4 linked regions of the Rattus norvegicus genome follow. The protein of the gene in region 3 interacts with the protein of the main gene of each other region in a pairwise test. Links are inferred from orthologs where the notes say so. Each region holds a gene or a part of one and is shown on either strand. Other genes may lie near its edges.

What was found.
Region 1: the proteins of Agtrap (region 3) and Mcee interact in binary tests that used the Homo sapiens proteins (3 or more experiments, as listed by UniProt). The two-hybrid records come from large-scale screens. The link is inferred for Rattus norvegicus from reciprocal best matches to the Homo sapiens genes AGTRAP and MCEE.
Region 2: the proteins of Agtrap (region 3) and Mrm1 interact in binary tests that used the Homo sapiens proteins (3 or more experiments, as listed by UniProt). The two-hybrid records come from large-scale screens. The link is inferred for Rattus norvegicus from reciprocal best matches to the Homo sapiens genes AGTRAP and MRM1.
Region 4: the proteins of Agtrap (region 3) and Senp2 interact in binary tests that used the Homo sapiens proteins (3 or more experiments, as listed by UniProt). The two-hybrid records come from large-scale screens. The link is inferred for Rattus norvegicus from reciprocal best matches to the Homo sapiens genes AGTRAP and SENP2.

Annotation. Positions count from the first base shown.
Region 1 is NC_086019.1:127,374,475-127,380,153, reverse strand, and holds the start of Mcee (methylmalonyl-CoA epimerase, mitochondrial), read right to left. Parts: upstream 3,802-5,679; 5' UTR 3,672-3,801; coding exon 3,626-3,671; intron 1-3,625. Other genes in the region: Mphosph10 (U3 small nucleolar ribonucleoprotein protein MPP10), read left to right, coding at 4,272-4,360. UniProt on the Homo sapiens protein: Methylmalonyl-CoA epimerase involved in propionyl-CoA metabolism.
Region 2 is NC_086028.1:70,190,248-70,196,018, forward strand, and holds the start of Mrm1 (rRNA methyltransferase 1, mitochondrial), read right to left. Parts: upstream 3,885-5,771; 5' UTR 3,743-3,884; coding exon 3,207-3,742; intron 3,050-3,206; coding exon 2,956-3,049; intron 2,823-2,955; coding exon of another isoform or gene 2,787-2,822; exon of another isoform or gene 2,418-2,786; intron 369-2,417; coding exon 236-368; intron 155-235; coding exon 35-154; intron 1-34. UniProt on the Homo sapiens protein: S-adenosyl-L-methionine-dependent 2'-O-ribose methyltransferase that catalyzes the formation of 2'-O-methylguanosine at position 1145 (Gm1145) in the 16S mitochondrial large subunit ribosomal RNA (mtLSU rRNA), a universally conserved modification in the peptidyl transferase domain of the mtLSU rRNA.
Region 3 is NC_086023.1:163,791,599-163,796,601, forward strand, and holds the end of Agtrap (type-1 angiotensin II receptor-associated protein), read right to left. Parts: intron 3,922-5,003; coding exon 3,816-3,921; intron 3,317-3,815; coding exon 3,121-3,316; intron 2,025-3,120; coding exon 1,906-2,024; 3' UTR 258-1,905; downstream 1-257. UniProt on the Homo sapiens protein: Appears to be a negative regulator of type-1 angiotensin II receptor-mediated signaling by regulating receptor internalization as well as mechanism of receptor desensitization such as phosphorylation.
Region 4 is NC_086029.1:92,497,704-92,502,706, reverse strand, and holds part of Senp2 (sentrin-specific protease 2), read left to right. Parts: intron 1-828; coding exon 829-889; intron 890-3,129; coding exon 3,130-3,306; intron 3,307-4,578; coding exon of another isoform or gene 4,579-4,593; coding exon 4,594-4,725; intron 4,726-5,003. UniProt on the Homo sapiens protein: Protease that catalyzes two essential functions in the SUMO pathway.

The sequences.
Region 1 (5,679 bases), on a different chromosome or scaffold from region 3:
TATTATATATATATCATATATATTATATATAATAATTGAAATTATAAATGTTATAGATATATGATAATTATATATATATATATGTATATGATATAACTTAATTGGAATTGCCCTATGATGGGGCAACGATGCATTTACTTGATACATAGGATAATAAACAAAAAAGCCTAGTGCCAAGAATGGATTGTCCCTTTTGGAACTGTTGGCCCAATAAATACCATAGATTCCCCAAACTGTGAGCTATTGCCAATGCTACTAGTTACCCTCCAGAACTCCTGTTGCTGATTATACCACATACTTAAGGCGCAGGGCATGGGAAACTGAAGCTGGTTTTCACTGAGAGCTTCATCAGTGCTGGCTATCTTTCATACGCTGGAAGGTGCTATGCACACCACTGGAGGAGGAAGGTAATCTTCACATCTTACCTAAGTGTGAACTCTGGCAGGCACACTCACCACCTTGATAAGATACGCCCACTGATGCAAGAGGGGCGGAAATATCGTGAGAGTAACCAACAGCGTTCTGATTGGGTTTAAAGCGCCACTCCATAAGTTCAGCCCATACCCGACACCATTATCAATGAATAAAACTGTGGCTAGATAGGTCATAGGCCCTACTACTATTAGTCTGCTAAATGGGCTTAGTGTTAAAGTCACTTTTAATGACTTATTATTATACCCATACATTAGTCCACCTCTCAACCCTCATCAGAGAAGCTTCTGTTTAAGTAGATGTTGTTTAACACAGACTTGAAAGTCATCAAGGTACAGAAAGTAAAGGTACTGCTCAGTCCTACATAGAGCATATATATTATATATATCACATCACCTTCTCAGGGATTACTGTGGGGGGTGGGGGGAGTGTAAAAGCCAGAAGCAGTGGATGACTACAAAGAATACGGCAGTGCAGCCTCACATGTCAATTCCTCAGGACAGCGTACAAAAGACCTGCAAAGAAGTCAATCCAGACAAGATCCCAACATGGAAAGCAAGGTGGGTGGGCATGAAGTCCCTCCTCTGGCTGACGAGTATTGGTGACTGATAGCGGGGAGGAGAGGGACTGCTATTTTTCTCTGAGGGTGTCACCCTGGGACCTCGCTCCAGTGGCAGGCCACATGTCCTCTTACCTCCACCTCCCAAACTTCTAAGATCCCAGGCACTTCCCACCAGTCCCTAACTGGTCTTTTCCTTTTGGAAGATGTATCCTGAGGGGTACGGTTTTAGAAATGGCTGAAGGTGTTCAAGTATTTTCTGACTTCTGACATGTTGATGGAGTTCACCTCTGTGTTTGCTTTTTGCTAAAGGGACACACATTACAGTTTTGGAGTTAAAAGCTGCTGCTTATAACCCTCCGGCTCTGACAGGGTGGATAGCTCAGCGACAGAGCACTTGCTTAGCATGAGAAAGCTTTGCGTTTGGTCTCCAGCCTCACGACAAAACTGTTGTGACTCACATATATGACTTATGACCATTTTATCACACGGGGACCTTTCCTAGTCTACAGAAATGGAGACTAAACAATAAATCTACTTTTGAGCAATCTATAAACCAGCTAGCTCCTCCTACCCACTGCTCAGTTACTCTATGCCTCAGTTATAGAAACCCCCCCCCCAATGTTTTCCCAACCACTACGATTCAGCAGCAGCAAAGGACAGAATTGGAAGACTCATGTTGGATTCTACCCTTTCCCTAGTACAGACCTATGGTTTTACTTCACCTCTATACTTACACATCAATCATTATGAAACCTTGTCATAGCCATTGTCCTTCCAAACTACATTGCAAAAGCACAAATGCCAAGGTGGGGGAGGGGCACGGTACCATAGCCTGGCTTTGCCTTTTAGTCTACGTGGCCACAAAATAAAGATAATGATACAGGCACCCTGAATACCTGTGTTATTTAATCTTTACTGTGACCCTGTGGGTTGGATAATGTGGAATTAGGCCTCTAGAGACTAGGTTCTTTTCCTCAACATCACTTTAAGCGGCAAAGCAGGGCCTTGAGCCCGGGTCTGTCAGACATCAGAGTTGATGTTGAGAAACTATTATTTCAGCTCATTCCTCTACGGCGCTCTTCCTTTCCTTTTTCTTCCATGCTGGGAATCGAACTTACGGCCTTGCATATGCTTGACCAGTATTGCTCCATGAAACTATACCCAGAATCTTTTGCGGCCCCTTTCTTCTCAATTAAAAAGAATCTTATGTTACTCTGAGATCGTCTCATGAATCTTGGGTGGCCCTCAGACGCGGTTGTGCCTGAGGATGGATCTGAACTTTCTGATCCCGTGTCTACTTCCCAAGTGCTGAGATTACAGGTGTGCGCCGCCCTGCTGGTTCATGTGGGAATGAACCCAGGCTTTGTGTGCATTGGGAAAGCACTCTAGCATCTCTGCTAGTCTCAGCCCAGATTCTCAATGTTTAATACCATTAGTAATATGTCTGACAAGCAGGGCCTAATTTCTAAGAGAGAGCTTGATAAGGGAAAATGGGTGATTCTGCTATAGTAGATAATAACGACGTATGATGGGTGAGCTAAGAAGGTGGCTTCTATTTGATCTATTTGATCATATAGAAAACTATGACAACAGGGAGTGCTAGCAAAACTTCAGCATTAACTGTTAATCAGAAAATCATAGGGGTTGGGGATTTAGCTCAGTGGTAGAGCACTTGCCTAGCAAGCGCAAGGCCCTTGGTTCGGTCCCCAGCTCTGAAAAAAAGAAAAGAGAGAAAAAAAAAAAAAAAGAAAATCATTTCCACTTTTGTGCTCTGGCTTTCACTACGATATTTTCTTTCTTATAAACATACATACACACAGTTGTACTAAGGTGTTATGTTGTTTTGGGGGGGTTGGCTTTTTTTATTTTTTGGCTTGTGGCTCATGATTTTGCCTTGGGGCCTTGTTTGTTAGGGCAGACAGGGAATTTTGTGATTGGCTGGAAAGGCTGGAGGGTTCCACAAAAACCAAATTCAGTTTGAGAGCAGACTTTGAAAGATGACTAGTTTCAATAGAGGAGCAGACAGAACTTTCCAGGCTAATGGATTTGTCGCAAATGTAACAGGAACTCTGGAATGATACTGCCTTACACTTTCTTTCAAGTTGAAAATCTCAGACGGAGGGCAGTAACTGCCACCATGCAGAAAGGGAAGAAAATGGAAGAGAAAGTGAGACAGGCAGAAAAGTTGGGCATTTGTCACCAAGATTCTGCTTCTTGATTAATGAGATGGAGGTCGAAAGAACTCAAGGAACTTACAAATCCTTCTGCTTGCTCCTTTCCTGCTCATGTCAGATGAAAAAATTGAGTGTGGTACGTGTATAAAACTGGCTTGGACTGAGACTTTCAGGACTTGCCACTTTGCCCTTTTCTCCTATCTCTTAGAGGAGGCATTTAATAACTCGAGTCTCCTCCAGCTTTATTGCAAGTCCTGCCTTGCCTGTGTTCTTAGGCAGATTACCTGTCTGGTCCATGTTTGCCAAGGGCAACCCTTGAGCACAGAGAAGGACAATAAGGAACTCCCGTGCTAAAAGGAGCGCAGCTCCAGGAGCCCAACACTTCAGACCCAGGCCTTGGCCTCCCGCAGCCTCCCGTGCCCCGCACCCGGCGCCCCTGATGGTGCCCGGTATTCACCTGTAGCGCCTGCAGCCAACGCAGCGGCCTTCACTACCAGCCTCATCTCCTGAAGCTACAAGCTTGCACAGCGACCCCGGGCAAAGACAACTAGGAGAGTGGGCAGGGGGCGGGGCCTGAGGTGGGCGTGGAAAACAGGACAAGGGTGGGGCTCGAAGGCAGTGCCCCAATACCCTTTAGAGAGCTAGACGGCTGAAGGGGGTTGGGGATGGGGGCGGAAAGAGAGCAAGGGGCGGGGCCTGGGGCCTGGGGCGGGGTAACAAGACTCGGAGCTTGACTGACGGCTACAGAGGGTGGGAAAAACGGGGCAGTGGCGGACGCCGCATAGGGTGACCTTCTTTTCCGTTACATTAAAATACTTATTGTATCGAATGCAAAAGCAGAAAGCGACCACGCGACACCACTGCGGTTCTCTTAGAAATACAAAACATTTGGAGAAAGAGCCAAGACGCTTGAGATGACCAATAGCCCTTTTCGGTGGTCGGCTCCACCCCTACGCATGCCCAATAGAAGCGTTTGCTGCTAGGGGCCGGAACCTGTGTGTGGCGGAACCTTAGGCTCTGAGCTGCAGGTTGCTTGAGGCAAGTGTTTGCGGTACGACTTCCGGCCGGTTCCCAGCCCTCGTGTGGCGCCGTAGTGTATAGCTATGGCGCCCCGCGTGTTTCGTCGACAGACCCTTGAACGGTGTCTGAGGGAAGTCAGAAAAGCCACCAACCGACCCGAGTGTTTCCTCACGTAAGTGCAGATCCAACTCTGGCAGAGAGCGACCCGCATCACATCGGTGCTAGGCGGGCCGGCATCCGTCAACTTCTGAAAGCCAGGAAGTGAAGTACAGGTCGCTCAGTCCCAACTTCAGTTTTTTAACAGTAAAAGCGGTTCAGTGTAGATTTCCTAGTTGTGCACTATTGAACTAAGTGCAGTTAATTCGCGTCCAGAGAAGCGTATTGCGTGCGGAATACGCTTTCTGAATTTGTGTCCCCCAAATACACACCGCTTACCTGTCATTGAGCTTTATTGAAAGTACGTACTTGTTGCTTTTCAGTGTATTTTCACAACTGAGCTTGCAGAGACCCAAGCAGTAGAGGAAGCTCGGAGAAGCCTGTGGAAGGGGGGTGGGGAATGACTGTAGGAGGCATAGGGGTCCAGGACACCACAAGAACACGGCCCACCTAATCAACTAATCAGGGTTTATGGAGGGCCCCACAGAGACTTTATTGGCTATCACGGAACCTGCGTTGATCCTCTGCATATATGTTGTGGTTGTTTAGCTTGGGGTTTTTGTGGAACTCCTAACAGTGGAATAGCGGCGTTTCTGATTCTTTCACTCTTGGGGCCCTTTTACCCCTCTGGGTTGCCTTGTCTAACCTTGATATGAGAGATTGTGTTCGGTTGAAGCCTACTTTTTTTGAAGGGAAACCGAGGAGCAGTGTGGATCTGGGGGAGGTGGGGAGGGAGAAGAGGCTGCAATTAGAATGTTTTGTATGAAAGAATAAAAACAAATTAGGAGAGACTTCTTTCTTCCCAGCATTTTGATTAAGTTCTGTAAAATTATGACTCTGACTTATATTGAAAATTTTAGCAATAGCATCACATCATTGTGTCCAAAATAGAGCTCCCCTCCCCTCCCCTCCTGTATTCTCCTCTCCCCTAAAGTCATTTCCCCGTTTCTATTACCTTAGCTTACTTTTACTGCCCCACTAAATGGCAGTTCTATCATTTCATTTATTCAGATTCAACTAGTCTACTTCCTTGATGCTTTCCTTTTTGCCGTACTTTCTCCAACCCTTTAGCATCCTCAGAATCCTATCTACAATATATTTAGACACTGATTCCTAATTGTCATACTTCTGCCGTGTCTCTGACATAAAAATCCTTTGCATCAGCTTTCTAACAACCTTTAACATTCTTTCTCTCTCCAAATTGTAAATCATCATCACATATTACACTTTTAAGTGACAAATTCCTATCTCAGAACCCAGTTTCTATAACCTCAGCCACCCACTGTGCCTCCTCAGCCACACTACAGCTGTCTTGGTCTTTCTGTTCTTCGCATT
Region 2 (5,771 bases), on a different chromosome or scaffold from region 3:
CAGAAAGGAGAGGAGAGGGAAGGTGTTGACTCACCTGTAGCCACAGACACATTCAAGGACTCAAGGCCGGGAGGCAGGTGGCGTCCGGGCAGAATGGTAAGGAGCAGCTGGCAGGTGGCGAAAACCCCCTGGGACAGACCAGAGCCCTCATTGCCTGCAGAACACGATGAGACAGTATTAGCGAGCCCCAGCCAGATGTCCACGTACAAATACAAAGCAGGTACAGCCTACCTACCCAGCACCAGGAGAGTGGGCCGGTCCCAGATGAACTCTAAGCAGCTAGTGACGGGGACCTTGGAGGACTGGGAGATCTCAGGACCTGGGCAGCCCACCGTGCCCACCACGAGCCACCCCTGCTGGGCCTTGGCCTGGAAGAGGGAAGGAAACCATGTGCTGGTTCACTGAATCTTCATCAAAGCCATGGTCAAGGAGGAGCCCAGCCTTGCACACACACATTCACTGAGAGATGACTTCAACTTAGTCAGGAAGTCAGGACCTCTACCCGGCCAGGATCTGCTCTGGGCACTGAGGTTGCCCAAGAGCACGCAGAATAAAATCCGAGCTGTGTGGCTGAAAGCAGATCTAAAGATAACTAAGGAATGAGTGTCTTGTAGACAGCGGGAGAAGGTTCCAGACAGGGAGATCTACAAGTATGGAGGCATGAAGGCCCCGCCCACCTGTCATACCTCAGGACTGTTAAGTTGGCAAGTGATAGGACAATGGCCACATAGGGTTAGGTCTCAAGGGCCACTGGAAATATAGGGCTTTTATCATGATATAAAAGTGTTGAGCCGTTGTCTGGCTTTTTTGAGATATGAGCTCATGGGATGGAGAGATGGCTCAGAGGTTAAGAGCACTGATTGCTCTTCCAGAGGTCCTGAGTTCAAGTCCCAGCAACCACATGGTGTCTCACAACCATCTTCTGGGGTGTCTGAAGAGAGTGACAGTGTACTCACATATATGAAATAAATCTTAAAAAACAAAAAACAAAACAAAACAAAAAAAAAAAACCAGGATTGGGGATTTAGCTCAGTGGTAGAGCGCTTGCCTAGCAAGCACAAGGCCCTGGGTTTGGTCCCCAGCTCCGAAAAAAAGAAAAAAAAAAAAAAAAAAAAAAAAAAAACCAACCCAGGCTGGCCCTGAACCCATGGTGGTCTTCCTGTCTTAAGTCTCTGAAGTACTGAGACTACAAGTAGATCTCACAGACCTAGTGCTTGAAAGGTTATGAGCAAAGTGATGCAGTCTGACCTGGGTCTCAGCAGAATCATGTCTGCCATGCCGAGACCCAAACCCCTGTCCAGGGAGCTGGGAACTCAGACGAGAGTAGCAGAGGAAACAGTAAGAAAGGATTTGGGGGCATAGCTGTGGGATCAAGACAAATCAGATAATGTCTGACTGAACAACTGAGCAGGGTAGGTCCTAGAAAAACAGATGGTCAGCCTTGGAAATGGGGAATTTGAAAGGCCCACAGTGGGAGTAGAGGGAAAGAGACTGGTGGATCCCTGTGAGTTCCAGGCCAGACGGATCTACAGAGTGAGTTCCAGGACAGTCAAGGCTATATAGAAAAACCTTGTCTCAAAAGTGAATGAATGAATGAATATGGGAGCTTAAGCCACAAAAGGGCTCATGGCATAAAGGCACTGGCTACCAAATCTGACACACACACACACACACACACACACACACACACACACACGAACTTGAGAGGCTGAAACAGGAGAATTGTGAGTCTGAGGTTGGCTACATAGCCAATCCTTTTCTCAAAGAGCTAAAACAAGGGGAAAATGAAGCTATGAGACTAGATTTGGAAAAAAAAAAAAACATTAAATCAATTACTTAAAAGAGATCCAAGGCCTAGGGAGGCCAGAAGAGGGCATCAAATCTCTGAAAGGAGGAATTATAGATGGTGGTGAGCCACCATGTGGGTGCTGGGAATCAGGCTTCAGTTCTCTGGGAGAGTAGTCAGCACTCTGAACTGTTAAGCCAGCTCTCCAGTCCTAGTACACGTGACTATTAGGGACTGAAATATGACTATTTCAAATTGAGATGTATTATGTATAAACATTTTAAGATGAGGTTTACACATCTGTTAGGAGGTTGACACAGGAGGATTTCTGTGGATTTGAGGCCAGCCTGGGCCACACAATACCCTGTCTCAAATTTTTTTCATTAATATTTAAAATGTTATGTTTTAAAGATAATATTTGTGGTATATTGTATAAATTTATGATTCTTTTTAGTTTTTTGTCTTTGTTGTTGTTGTTTTGTTAAGACTGGGTCTCACGTAGCCCAGGAGGGCCTTGCAATGAATGATCTTACTGTCTTCACCTCCTAAAACCTGGAATTATAGGCGTGTCATCAGGCCTGCTCTCTTTACTTTTCAGCTTGGTTACTGGAAAATCTGAAATTAGACACGTGGTTTGAATATAAGTTTATTACAGCTTTCTTTGGCCTCTTTTCAAGGTTATTTTCTCACTGAGGGATGGGGGTGGGGACGGGGAAGGACAGAGGTCAGAGGGACGGCCAAACGCGAGGCAATGCTGCCCCCTAGGGTCTATCCAGGAAATACACAGCTAAAGTACACTAAAGCTTGCCCCTTGCAAAGCCTTGTTTAAATCGCTTTCAAGTTGACTTTCTATTCCAAATACCCACGACTCCTGTCCACCAGCTCTCTCGAGTGCTGCTGAAGTCCCATGGGTGTCAGACATTGACTTGCTGACACAGGTGGCCAAGTCGTGTAGTAAATAAAGTAAATGAGGCGAGGAAATCTCTAACCAGACGAGGCTCTATTTTAAAGGCCTTGGGATCCTTCCCGGTGGGACCTAGAAGGTCGTAGGAATCAGTGCCACCACGTCCCCTTCTCTTCCCCGACCCCCAGACCACTGCTACCTGGAGGTAGCTTTAAGAGCTCGAGCTAGACTCATTGCCTCTTCTTCCCCTCTCGCCCAGGTTTACCTGCAAAAAACTCGCCAGGTCAGGAGAGGCGAACACGTCCATCACTTCCATGGCCCCAGCGCTGGCCTTGCTGACTACTGGAGTAAGCGGACAGCTGCAAAGGTTCCCCACGATCCGTGTTAAACCCGGAAATCTCAAGCCCCGCGCCCTATACACCCCCGGGATCCCCACCAGGTGCTTAGGAACTTGGCTCCGCCTCCAGCTGGGGGGGGTGGTGGCGGGAGAGGGGCAGAGTTAAGGGACGTCCGTGCCTGTTTCTCCGGCTGGTGATGACCCTGTCTACTCCGAGGAAGTAAGCGGAGCGCATCACAGCCCCAAGATTGCGGGGATCCTGGATCCCCTCAAGGACGAGCCACAGTTGCTGAGGGTCGTCGCCTGAGCTCGTGTCTGCCGCCTCATCGCAAGGCCGAGGTCGCAGCCGGCTGACCTCCATGCACACGCCCTGGTGCACCTGGTAGCCACACAAGGCATCCAGTTTCTGCCGCCTGGGCCTCAAGACAGGGATGCCCCGAGCCTCGGCCACCCGGAGCAGCTCGGCCCGCTCCCCCTGCAGTCCAGCCTTACCGGCCTGGAGCAGGAGCCGGGCCACGTGCCGGCGGGCGGCCCGCAAGGCCAGGAGGCATGGGGACACGCCAAACAGACGTTCCAGCCTCTGGGCTGGCGCCAGGTCATCAAGAAGCAAGCGACTCAGCTCCTCCCCGCCAGGCCGCTCCCCGGGCCGAGCCACGGAGGAGAAATGGCGGGCAACGAGGCGATTGAAGCATCCGACCGTCCAGAGGAGTAGCATTGCTCCAGCAGCGCCCGGAACTCTGTAACAGACTGCTGGGGAGAACACGTTAGCCTCCCACACCTCGTCCCCGCTCAAAGACTGCCCACGACCTGACACTCGAGCCTAGACAGTCGCCTCCCAGACTCCCACGTGGGTCCCCAGCTTCCGGGTTCTGGAGGCCCAGCCCCCTGTCCGATGACGCACGCGTGGGCTTGGCGGCAACCATGTCTCCACAGCACCCCCAACAGGACTGGCTCGCACTGCCTCCACTGACGCTGGCGAGCTGAGAGGCTGTGCAGATGCTGAGCTAACCTCCCTACCTTGGACTGCTCTGGGTAAAGGGAGAAGTCAGGAGACTGGGATAGCCGCATTCAAGAACTCATCTGCAAAAACCAACTTATGACAATGGTTCGGCCACCTGTTCAATTGTCGGTCTTGGTGGCTTCCTACATCCAGGCACAATGTCATAGTTGGGACTTTATCTCAGAAGCTTATCCTGTCAGACCCTCAGCACTAGCCAGCAGAACTCCAAGAACATTTCCCATCTTCCCACGACTGAAATGAAAAGCCCCAATGAGCCTATCAAGCGACCGATGCCCTTAGCCCACAATAATGCTGGGACTCCTTTGCTCACTGCTCAGACTCTACTAATTCTTTTCAGCCCAGTCTTTTTTTTTTTTTTTTTTTTTTTTTTTTTGTTCTTTTTTTCGGAGCTGGGGACCGAACCCAGGGCCTTGCGCTTCCTAGGCAAGCGCTCTACCACTGAGCTAAATCCCCAACCCGAGCCCAGTCTTTTAAAATATCTTTTTAAACTTTTTTTCCCTTTTCCTAATACTTCTTCTTCTTCTTCTTCTTCTTTTTCTTTTTCTTCTTCTTCTTTTTCTTCTTCTTCTTCTTCTTCTTCTTCTTCTTCTTCTTCTTCTTCTTCTTCTTCTTCTTCTTCTTCTTCTTCTTCTTCTTCTTCTAATGTGCATTGGTGTTTTGCCTGCATGTATGTCTGTGAGGGGGTTGGGACACCTAGAACTGAAGTTACAGTTGCAAACGGCCATGTGGGTGCTAGGAATTGTACCAGGGTCCTCTGGAAGAGCAGCCAATGCTCTTAACCTTTGAGCCATTTCTCCCCTCCCCCCACCCCTTTTTAAATCAATGTCTCACTAAGCAGCCCTGATGGATGGCCTGAAACTCGTTGTGTAGTCCAAGCTGGCCTCAAATTCACGGGGATTCCCCACTGCTTATGCTTCTCAAATGTTGGAATTAAAGGTGTGCGCCACTCTACCTGGCTCCAACTTATTTTATTTTTCGAAATTCTTTCACGTGTGTGGACGTATTGTCTGTCTGTATGGCTGTGCACTACATGTGTGTCCGGTGTCCCAGGAGAAGAGAGGAGGATGTAGGATTCCCTGGGACTAGAATCAACCCATGGACTCTGGGAATCAAGCTTGGGTCCTCTAGTGCAGCCACTGTACGGACTTATTCACTTGTGTGTTTTGGAGACATGTGTATCCTTGGCTCCTTGGCTGGCCTCAAACTAACCATCCCCTGTTCCTACTCTAGAAGCCATGTTCCAAATCCACCCACCTTTCCATTTCCCGGAAGAAATTCTGAGACACCAACCACACCGATCACCAAGGGTGAAAAACCTGAAAGATACTTCTGAAGGCAGAGGAGGTTGCAATCTTGCTCTTTAATTGTGGTGAAATGTAGGAGACAGACCCTGATACTCTGTAGCAGTGGGGACCCCAGAGAAAGGGCCAAAACCTGGCTGGAAAGCTGAGGGAGGGGAGGGTTTGGAAAGGGGAGCCTGGAGCCCTGGACAACCATACAGGTAAAAGATGAGGCCTCTGCTGCTCCTACACTAAGGGGTAGGGGGTAGGGTACAAAAAGGATAGAGCAACGCCCCTTTTAGCCACATCCTTTTCCTAGGTCACAGGAGAGCAAAGGTGAGGGAGCCCCAAGAGGGGGACTCGGAAGAAGTTAGATAAAATAGTTGCAATTACATCTTCTCTCCCAGCCCATTTTTTTTCACATTTGTAACGGGAATAACCTG
Region 3 (5,003 bases):
CCCCAGGGCCTCTCCTCTGTCAGCTGGAAGTTTGTCACTTACTGTGGGACAGCCGATGACCAATGAGAAAGCCCAGCCCACCCTGCTCTAGTCTGCCTTTGGGACCTTCTCCAGAGATCCTCCTCTACCCTTCCCTAAGATCTGTGACCTGTCTTAGCTACGTAGGCCAAGCCCTCCCTCACCTTATTAAGTCTCTGCAACCATGGCCTATCCAAGAGACACAGGCACTGATACTCCAGGCCTTCCTTCCGCACACCTTTTTTTTTTTTTTTTTTGGTTCTTTTTTTTCGGAGCTGGGGACCGAACCCACGGCCTTGCGCTTCCTAGGTAAGCGCTCTACCACTGAGCTAAATCCCCAGCCCCCAGGCCTTCCTTCCGACAAGAACCCTTCCAGAAACACGAGAAAACATCTTGGGCTTCTTGTCTTCTTTGCCTCAGGCCACGTGCTCCCTTCTCCTCAGGCCTCTGCAGTCTTGAACTTGACACGTGTCCCAGAGCTATGAAACAGCCCCAGCTGTCCTGGAACTCGCTCTGTAGGCCAGGCTGGCCTTAACTCGGAGATTCACCTGCCTCTGCCTCCCAAGTGCTGGCATTAACCACCCACCAGGCACGTTTTTAATATTCTGGGTTTGTTTTTACATTTATCTGTTTGTGGTGTGTTTGTATGTGTGTGTAAAACCTCAAACCATGACAAAGAGTGTGGAGGTCAGAGGATAACTTTCGCAAGTCGGTTCCAAGGACCAAACACACATCGTGACGCTCAGTAGAAGACTCCTTTACCTGCGGCTGAGCCTCTAAGCCTCTGAGTCTCTGGGCCCCAGCTCTTGTTTACACTGTGCTGCACTCAGCCTAAACAAATCACAGCTACCGCTCCTCACTCTGCTCACACTGGGCTCAGTGTGGATGCCAACCAGGTCTGGGTTAGGTGCTGATTGCATGGGATTGTGTTTGACGCAGCAGATGGACGCAGTGACCCCACCAATGATGCTGTCACTCAGCCTCCCGGCCTGTCTCGTGTGCAGAGAGTGCTTTCAGGACTCTCACCTCAGCCTGCGGCTCCCCATAAGTCTTCAAGTATCTGTCCCCAGACGTCTGCCGGTGAGTAAGAGTGGGAGCGCTGGCACCTCAGGAGGCAGTCGACTGTGGTCAGAACGCAGAGGCTAGAGGAAGCCACCCATGCCCTGCCTCATGGTTCAGGATCAGAGGCAGTGAAATTAGTCACTTAGAATCAGAGGATAGATGTCTGTCTACATGCCACACCGACCAGCACTTCCTCTGCCACCCCATTTGGCTGATATAATGGGTGGCTGAAACTATGTTCCACCTGCAACTGAGTCTAGGGCGAAGTCACACCCAGACGGCAGGGTGGGTCCCAGCTCGGAGCACAAACATGGCTGGAACCTAGTGCAGGCCCAGAGGCCCTGCATTTTAATGTCAGGGCTCCTCTGCAGACAGACCTACTGCATCTGGGCCTGGGGTTCTCAGGCACTGTCATGAGGCACTGAGAGGCACAGGGACTTGGCTCCTGTGCAGAACAGGCTGAGCAGGACCACAAGCTCACAGAGCTTCCAGAAGGGCTGGGTCACCTTGGGGTAGCCTGAGAGGCAGTGATCATTGGCCCATAAGGCCTGGATGGCCCTGAACACTCTGCACAGCTCGGCGGTTGTGTGTTATAGTGATGGGGAGGAGGGGAAGAAACCAACCACAGTTCTAGCCCAGGGGTTAACAGGTGTCTTGAATGGAGGGGCAGCATGGAGAATTAGGACTGGGCTCTTCTCAGCTGGGACCTCCGAGGGCACATGACTCAGGCCACCTCTGTGGCAGGGAATGGAGGATACCCCATTGTAGGTCCAGTAAAGAAGGTGACAAGCATCCTGCTGGGCCCCAGGACGGCCAGGGACAGCTTCAGTACCCCCGGGGGGCAGCTTGGCCCTTGTTCTCCAGGCTTGCAAGGGGGTCTGCAGGTGAGTCTGACGAGTCAATTGTCTGGTAGGCACTATGTTCCTGAGAAGGTCCGAAGAAATCTAGAGGACAGGGAACAAGTGGATAGAGAAAATGAGACCATGGGGCCTTCTGCTAAGCACAGACAGATCCACCATCTGCCATGGCTAGTGTTTGGCATCATGATACCAAGGACAATGGGCAGTGGCAGAAGCCCAGACACCAGGCCTTTACCAAGCAGCGTCCACTCAAGCCTAGCATCGGTATGGGTGGCTCTGCAGATGAGAGAAATGCGAGGGTCAGAGAGACCGGCTGATTTAAGACCCTGTGGCATGAAGCAGATGACACTGGGGTCCAACCTAAACAGCAGCTCCTGTGGTCAATGGCTACTGTGTCACATCTGCCCCGGAAGCACACGCTCAGGTACCTGAGGAGGGGGTCAGTCCTGAGCCCACAGACTTTCTTCCTGCTGTCTGCCAGGCGCTAGGACCCATATAAATCACCATTTCTAGAAGCCACAGGGCCTGACACAGTTGCTGTACCCAGAAGGCTGGGGCTGAGAGTACAGAGCAGGACAGAAGGCACCTGTGTCTCTCACATTTCTCCCTCTGTATATTTGCCCTGAGACCATGGACAAGTCCCAGGAGCAGTGGACCTTCCTTCTCCTGTCTGATCCCTTCACACCCGGGCAGGTCTAGGTGAGCACAGAGATAAACCAGAATGGGCAGCCGTAGGCCACTCTGGCACTGGCTCAGCACTCTCTCATGGGATCCTCAGGTCACCTGGAGACCACACCCAGCTCCCACAGGAGAGCAGGGTCAGAGAGGGCAGGAAAATGGCTTGGCCCGCCACCAAAGAGGACAGCGTGGGCTGAGCCAGAGTCTAGAAGGCTGGTACACAGGGCTCCCTGGCCTGCCTGCTCAGAAAGGGTACGCCCCACATGGCAGGAGCGCACACCTCCAGAGGCAGGGCTGGGTGGAAACAGGAGGAAGGAGTTGTCCCCACAGCCATCTGCAGCCCCGCAGCAGAGGCTCCTTGCTGCCACAGCGAGCTGAGCAACTCCACGCCTCCACTTGTACTCTGGACTGAGGGAGGGCCACCAAGTCTGCCTGACAACAGGAAGAAGTCACACCAGACTGGTGGCTGGGCCGGGGGCAGGCGGGGTGGAGTGGGACTTACCCGAGCGGAGCGGGAGCTCACCCCCTCGCTCCCGGTGCATGTGGTAGACGAGGCAGCAGGAGAAGGGCTTCAGCAGCAAGCTGAAGATGGCCATGCCGGCACTGAAGCGGCCAGTGTCCCCAACGGCAACGCTTGAGTAGAAGATGCTAATGTAGATAATGTCCAGGAAGATGGTGGCAACCAAGCCACCAAGAAACTGCAAGGAACACCATCACAGGATCACGGACACTGACACCCAACCAGACCCCAAGTTTCCCTCACACACACCAGGCTGGTGACCGGCATCTTGTGACTGACACCTGCATGGTCTAGGAGCATGGACACAAGAGTCTGGCTCTAACCTGTTGCCCCATAATTCCCCACCCCCATCTCCTGCCATTGAGATCATGAGGGGCCTATCTCCAGAATTTCTGAGAGGGACACTTCCTTGGAGCCCATAACATCTGGTCTCGCTGCAAGAAAACAAGGGAAACAAACCCCTTTGTAATTCTCCTAAGGAGACACTGGGGTTCTGTGACCTCCCCCCATGTCTGTCTTGGGGGGACAACAGCAGAGGTGGGTCGCTGTGTAGCTGGCCTGGCTAGGCTTGCCGTGTGCAGGGCTTTAGAACAGAAAAAGATGGGGTGTGAGGAAGAGAGAAGACTGGGGCAGATGAGGGGCCCACGGATGGAGCCACCTCCCCACCGCCAACTCACCATGCCAATGGCATCAACAGAGTCCCGCTGGGCCACAGCCCACACACCCAGGGCCAGGATAGTGAAGTTGCCCCAAGCATAGGAGCCTGAGAACGCCAAGCAGCCCCTGCATAGAGAGACACTATCAGTCACCGCTTTGAGCTGCCCACCCCTCCCAGTTCCTTCCCCTGCTCCAGGGTCTTAGCCACAGGTCTTCTGTGTCACTCCTGCCCCCTGCAGGCAGTTCTTGAAATAGCAAGCAGTGTGTGAATCTGACCATGTGACTCCTCCACTCCAACCTTTCCACCGTTTGGAATGAGATACCTTTTTTTGCTGTACGCTATGGGGTTCCCACGAGAGCCCCACCCTTGCTCCTGGCTGCTACACCCTTGAGGTTCCGTTTTCCTGAACACACAGCCATCTTAGAGCTCAAGCGTTGCCTGAGAGATCTGCTCCCATGCTGACTGACCGAGCCCCTCCCTGCTGTAGTTTTCAGATTACCTCCATCAACTGCCATCACCTACTAGTCTGCTTGTTGAGCCGGCTTGTCACAGTTAACACAGGGCCCTTCCTGGGACCTGGCTCTGCCCTGCGTAGGCATTCTATACTGATAGCGTAGGTATTCTATACAAGAGCTCACAGCTGCTCTTGGCGGGGAGGCGGTGTTGTGAGCCTCATTTTATAGACTCAAGTCACAGACCTAAGTGACTAACCAGGTCACAGGCTGCACAATGAAGGAGCACGAGGACACACCGCTCCTAGGTATGGTTGAGAAGAAGGTTTTATTGTAGATGTGCGGGAGAGACAGTCAGAGGCATCTGCAAGGGTCCAGACTGAGCATGGCCAGCAAACTGAATAGGGCCATGAGAGGTGTGGAGGAGATCATCAGAGGAAGAGAAAGCGAGGAAAGGGGAGAGGGGGCAAAGAGACAAAGAGAGGTCCAGGAGAGGAGCCAAGAGCAGAACCAAGAGCGCAGGTAGCCAAAACAGCTGAGTTGTAGAGGAATCAGAAGCTGCGGGAAGGGAAGCCCAGATGCTGAGCTGAAGAGGTTTAGGGTAGGGAGAGGTTTAGGCGGAGTGAGAAGTGCTGGGAGACACCACAGGTACTGAGAGATGCAGGGAGAGGTGGGAGGGGCCACAGGTACTGCAGGGAGAGGTGGGAGGGGCCACAGGTACCGCAAGGAGAGGTGGGAGGGGTCACAGGTACCGC
Region 4 (5,003 bases), on a different chromosome or scaffold from region 3:
TAAGGCTGACCTCAACTCCTGATCCTCCCTCCTCTGCCCACTGAGTGTAGAGTTTACAGGCATAGACCACCTCTTCCTGCATGCCATCCTCTTTTAAATTGCCCTCAATTTCAGGGAAGATTTTAGGTGGCAAAGAAAATGCAGCCATTCTTACATAGTAGTATCATTGCCCTGTCTGAACCTAACAAGTATAATCCAGTGTCTGCATTTCTCCTCAGTCTGGTCTTGCCAGCACCTGTCAATCTCTCCTACTGCAGCATTGTAGAGTGTCTCTTTGACCTAAATCTGCATTTTTTTTCATATTCTTCCTCAGACTAGTTCCAACATTGCAAGAGCCACAGAGAGGTTGGTCACAGCAGCAAGCCCACTTTTCTAGCATTTGATTTTCATGTTAGTTTCCTTCCACTGCTGCTAAAATGCCTGACACAAATGCTGTAAGGGAGGAAGGGTTTATTTTAGCTCACAGTTTTAGAGAAGTCAGTCTGTCATGCTGAGAAAAGCATTAGAATGACACGCTTTGTTTATGGCAGTTCAGGAAGCAGAGACAGGGCAGTGTCAGGATTCCCAAGGCCAGTTTTGTTTAGAGATTAATAAATCCTAATTTTAAAATTAAAAAAAAAGTTTGAAACAGTTTCATTTAGCCCAGGGTAGACTCAAACTCATTATGTAGCCTTGAACTACTTACTGGTCTTCCTGCCTCCACTTCCCTGGGTTCTGGGATTACAGATGTGCTCCACTATTAACAGGTTAATAAATGTTACTTGTGGAACTAGCATGAACCACGTGTAACAGCAGAACTCTGTAAATCTGTAATGGTATCCTCCGCAGGTATTCAAAAGGAAAAGCTGACACAGAGAAGGTGGTGGGACTCCGATTTGAAAAGGACGGTGTAAGTAGGAGCCCTGTAAATGTTAGGTTCGCCTTGTCACCTTTTCACCGGACTGACATTCGATGCCACAGGAAACAAGGAAGTGGCCCCAACTGTCCTAGAACTAGCTCTGTAGACCAGGCTGGCCTCAAACTCATGACCTCTCCCTCCCAAGTACTGAGACTAAAGGTGTGTGCCACCACTACCCAGTCTACTTAGTGTAAGTATTAGAATCAGAGTTTCAGTGTCTCTGTAGGGCATGTTCAGGTTTTTAATGTTATTTTGTTAAACATTTAATATCTGGCAGAAATCCAGTCCATCTCTACCCCCATGGTCTTACTATGCAGCCTTACTATATAGACCAGACTGGCCTCAAACTTGTAGAGATCCACCTGCCTCTGCCTCCTGCTTGATTGATTTAATTAATTTATTAATTGACCTTCTGCTGGGATTATAGGTGTACACTGCCACACCCCATGCAGAAATATATTCCTTAATTAAATGCAACTGAAACTTTTGTTACTTATATTTTTATTTATATAGAATTATAAAAATGGTCGTAAAACATTCCCTTATTTAATTAATGTTCTCTGTTTCCAGCGATTCCAGATGGACTGCTTTATGTTTAATTGTCATTTATCTTCCTTTTAGTCAAAACAGAATGCTCATAATCTTAGCAGTCAGGGAGAACCAAATCTAGACAGTTAAGCCAGTCTAAACAACAAAGTGAGAGCTAGTCTTTTTATAAAACAAGGAAAGAGTGGATGGGAACTACCAGGCAGTCAGAAAGAATGAAGAAAGCTCACTGGTGTCTTGAGACTCCATAGCTCCACTCCAAAGTTCTGTTTTAAGTACATTTCCTAACAAACTCGTAAGGTGTTGACTTCGTGTGTACAGGCAAGCTCCACTGAGCTCCATTCTGTTCCCATCTCCAGTCCTCGTAGAGGCTTTCACTGAGAATGCACGGTTTAATCAGCGGCCATGGGAGATAACCTCCTGTTCAGCACATCGTCTACTACAGTGCTAGCATGAGATAGAGGGTAGATACAGCTCAGAGGGAGTGTCTGCCTAGCATGTTAAAGGCCTCAGATTCCAACCCTACACAGAAAAAGGAATACATAAGTAAAGCAGCTTTAACTAACACAGGATGACTTTAAATAAGAAATAGGTTCTTCGGGACTGGAGAGATGGCTCAGCAGCTAAGAGCACTGGCTGCTCTTCCAGAGATCCTGATTTCAATTCCCAGCAGCTACATGGTAGCTCACAACCATCTGTAATGGGATCCGATGCCCTCTTCTGAAGACAATGACAGTGTATTCACATACATGAAATAAATAAATAAATAAATAAATAAATAAATAAATAAATAAATAAATAAATCTTAAAAAAACAAGTAGATTCTTGTGAGCGATGTTCTTTAGGCCACACCTTGTACCTTTCTAAACTTCATAAACATGTTTTAATTACATTTTAAAATGGGATAGGAACTGAAAATGTTTTCCTTCCTAGTTACAGAGGAATGGTGTTTCTGTTTGTAACTGATATGCCCTGTGGACCTGTGTTTAACTCTGTCTTGTGTTCACCTTAACCAAGGCAGGCAGGAGGCAGGCAGGCAGGAGGCAGGCAGGCGGGAGGCAGGCAGGCAGGCAGGCGGGAGGCAGGCAGGAGGCAGGCAGCAGGCAGGAGGCAGGTGGGAGGCAGCAGGCAGGCAGGCAGGCAGGCAGGCAGGAGGCAGGCAGGCAGGCAGGCGGGAGGCAGGTGGGAGGCAGGCAGGAGGCAGGCAGGCAGGCAGGCAGGCAGGCAGGCAGGCAGCAGGTGGGAGGCAGGCAGGCAGGTAGCAGGCAGGCAGCAGGCAGGAGGCAGGCAGGCTGAGTCTGTTTCACCCTCAGGACAGCTGCTAAATCTCATATTCATTTGTCTCCAAGTTAATGCCAGACTTTTGCTTTTCCTTTTAAATTTTATAAACCTTATAAAAAATCACACACCAAAACTGACTGGATCCCAAGTCTGCCTGTCAGTGGGCTGTGCATTAGGGAAGCTGCTTGGGAGGGAAGCCATGGGGTGTCACGTGGGGTCTTCCCTTTCACTGCCCAGTATGTCTTTCTGCACATCGTCACTACCCAATGTAGAATTCCATGGTGGAGTTAAAACTAGAAAACCGTTAACTTCTTCCATAACTTGTGCAGTGTTTAGTATTCTATGCACTGTTGTATTATATGTACAAAATTAAGCATTGTCAGTGTTGAAACTTTTTTGGTCAGACAAGAGGACACCAGTTGGAGCCTGATCTGTCAGAAGAAGTGTCTGCCCGGCTTCGCCTGGGAAGTGGAAGCAATGGCCTACTCAGAAGGAAAATATCAGTGCTTGAGGCAAAGGAAAAGAACTTCCCAAGCAAAGAGAAGGACAGAAGAACAGAAGATCTCTTTGAACTTACAGAGGTAGAGTTCTTTGTGTGGGTCAGAGTTAGATGACTTTCAGACGAGCCACAGCTCCTCTAAACTGAAGTGCATGCTTTGTTTTGAGAAATGTCTCCAGATAAGTAATAAATATATGAAGTTTAAAAAACACAAAACAAAACAAAACCTCCAGGTCTGCTTATGTTGTCTGTATTGATCATTCCTGGTCTGTGAGGGTGGCCTGGTGAATCAGGTATAACTGGTTTGGGTGGGTTTTTTGGTTGTTGGTTATTTCGGTTATTGGTTGATTTTGCTTTTTTAGGTTTTTTCTGTTTCTGAAACTAGGTCTACGTGGTTACTTAGTCAAGGTTGTTCCGGCATTCATGGCAGTCCTCTTGCTGTGAGCCTCATAGTAGTTAAAATTCTTACTTTAAAAGGGATTCTTCATACTGAATCAAGAACCCGTTGTCCTGGTGTGTGTGGAGGGGTCTCCCTTAGTGTAGATGTCTCTAACGCGTACAGCGCAGAGCACATGAAGTTCCTGTAGCTTCATCTCTCCTGCCTGCCAGGATAATATGCAGAGTCCTGGGGAAAGAGCTTGCAACTGCAGCTCACATGCGCAGGTGTGAGGTCATCTGTCCAGCTGGGCACGGCACACCCACTCGTGGACGCGTGACCTCTTACTTCCTCATACTCAGGCTCTGCTGGCTCAACTAAGACAAACGCCACAGCTGTACCCATAGGGCAACAGATGCAGATAGGCCCTAGCTGTAATTCTTTTCTCTCGTGATTCTAGGTCCTGTCAAGATGAACATAAAAGCTTACCATGTTAGAGGTAGAGAGATCAAACCATACAATAACAAAATTGGGTGAAAATGAGAACAACCATTTTGATTGGGTTCGTAAGCTAAATATACATTTAGCTGCATAAATTATTAAAATAATTCAAGGAGATAGCCATTGTTAAGACTGGTTTGGTTTGGTTTGGTTTTCAATTTTGTTCTCATTTTAGTTTTTTAAGACAGGATTTCTTATATAGCCCTGGCTGTTCTGAAACTCATTCTATAGACCAGGCTGGCCTTGAACTCAAGATCTGCCTGCCGCTGGCTCCCAAGTGCTGGGATTAAAGGCTTGCACTACCACCATCCAACTTCCTAAGACTGTTCTTCAGTTGTAAATTTGAATGTTTTTACACTGCAGTTTCATAGATGTTGAATCGTTATTTTCCTCAAAGATTGTCAGGTGTTGCTGAGATGAAAGGCTTTTTTCAGTCTGAGTCTTTCCATACCTGATAGTGGTTCTGTGCTAATGTAGCATCGTCTAATTCAGGACATGGAAAAGGAAATCAGTAATGCCCTGGGCCATGGTCCTCCAGATGAGATTTTGAGCAGCGCTTTCAAGTTACGAATCACCCGTGGAGATATCCAGACCTTAAAGAACTATCACTGGCTCAATGATGAGGTCAGTCTTCCTCCTTTCCTGTACTGCCTGTCACTCTGCATAGTGTCTGCTGTCTGTAATCAAAGTTACTTCAGCCTCGTTGGAAGGGGTTGGGAAAGCAACATTAATTTCTGTTCTGCTGTGTTTTCTTTTAGTGCTAGGGATTGAACCAAGGCCTCCCACACTCAACAAGCAAGTGCTCTCCTACTCCAAGCTATGTCCTCACTCTTTTTTTTTTTTTTTTTTTGAAAGCTTTTTATTTTGAGACAAATTTCCACTAACTTGTCCAGGCTGGCCTA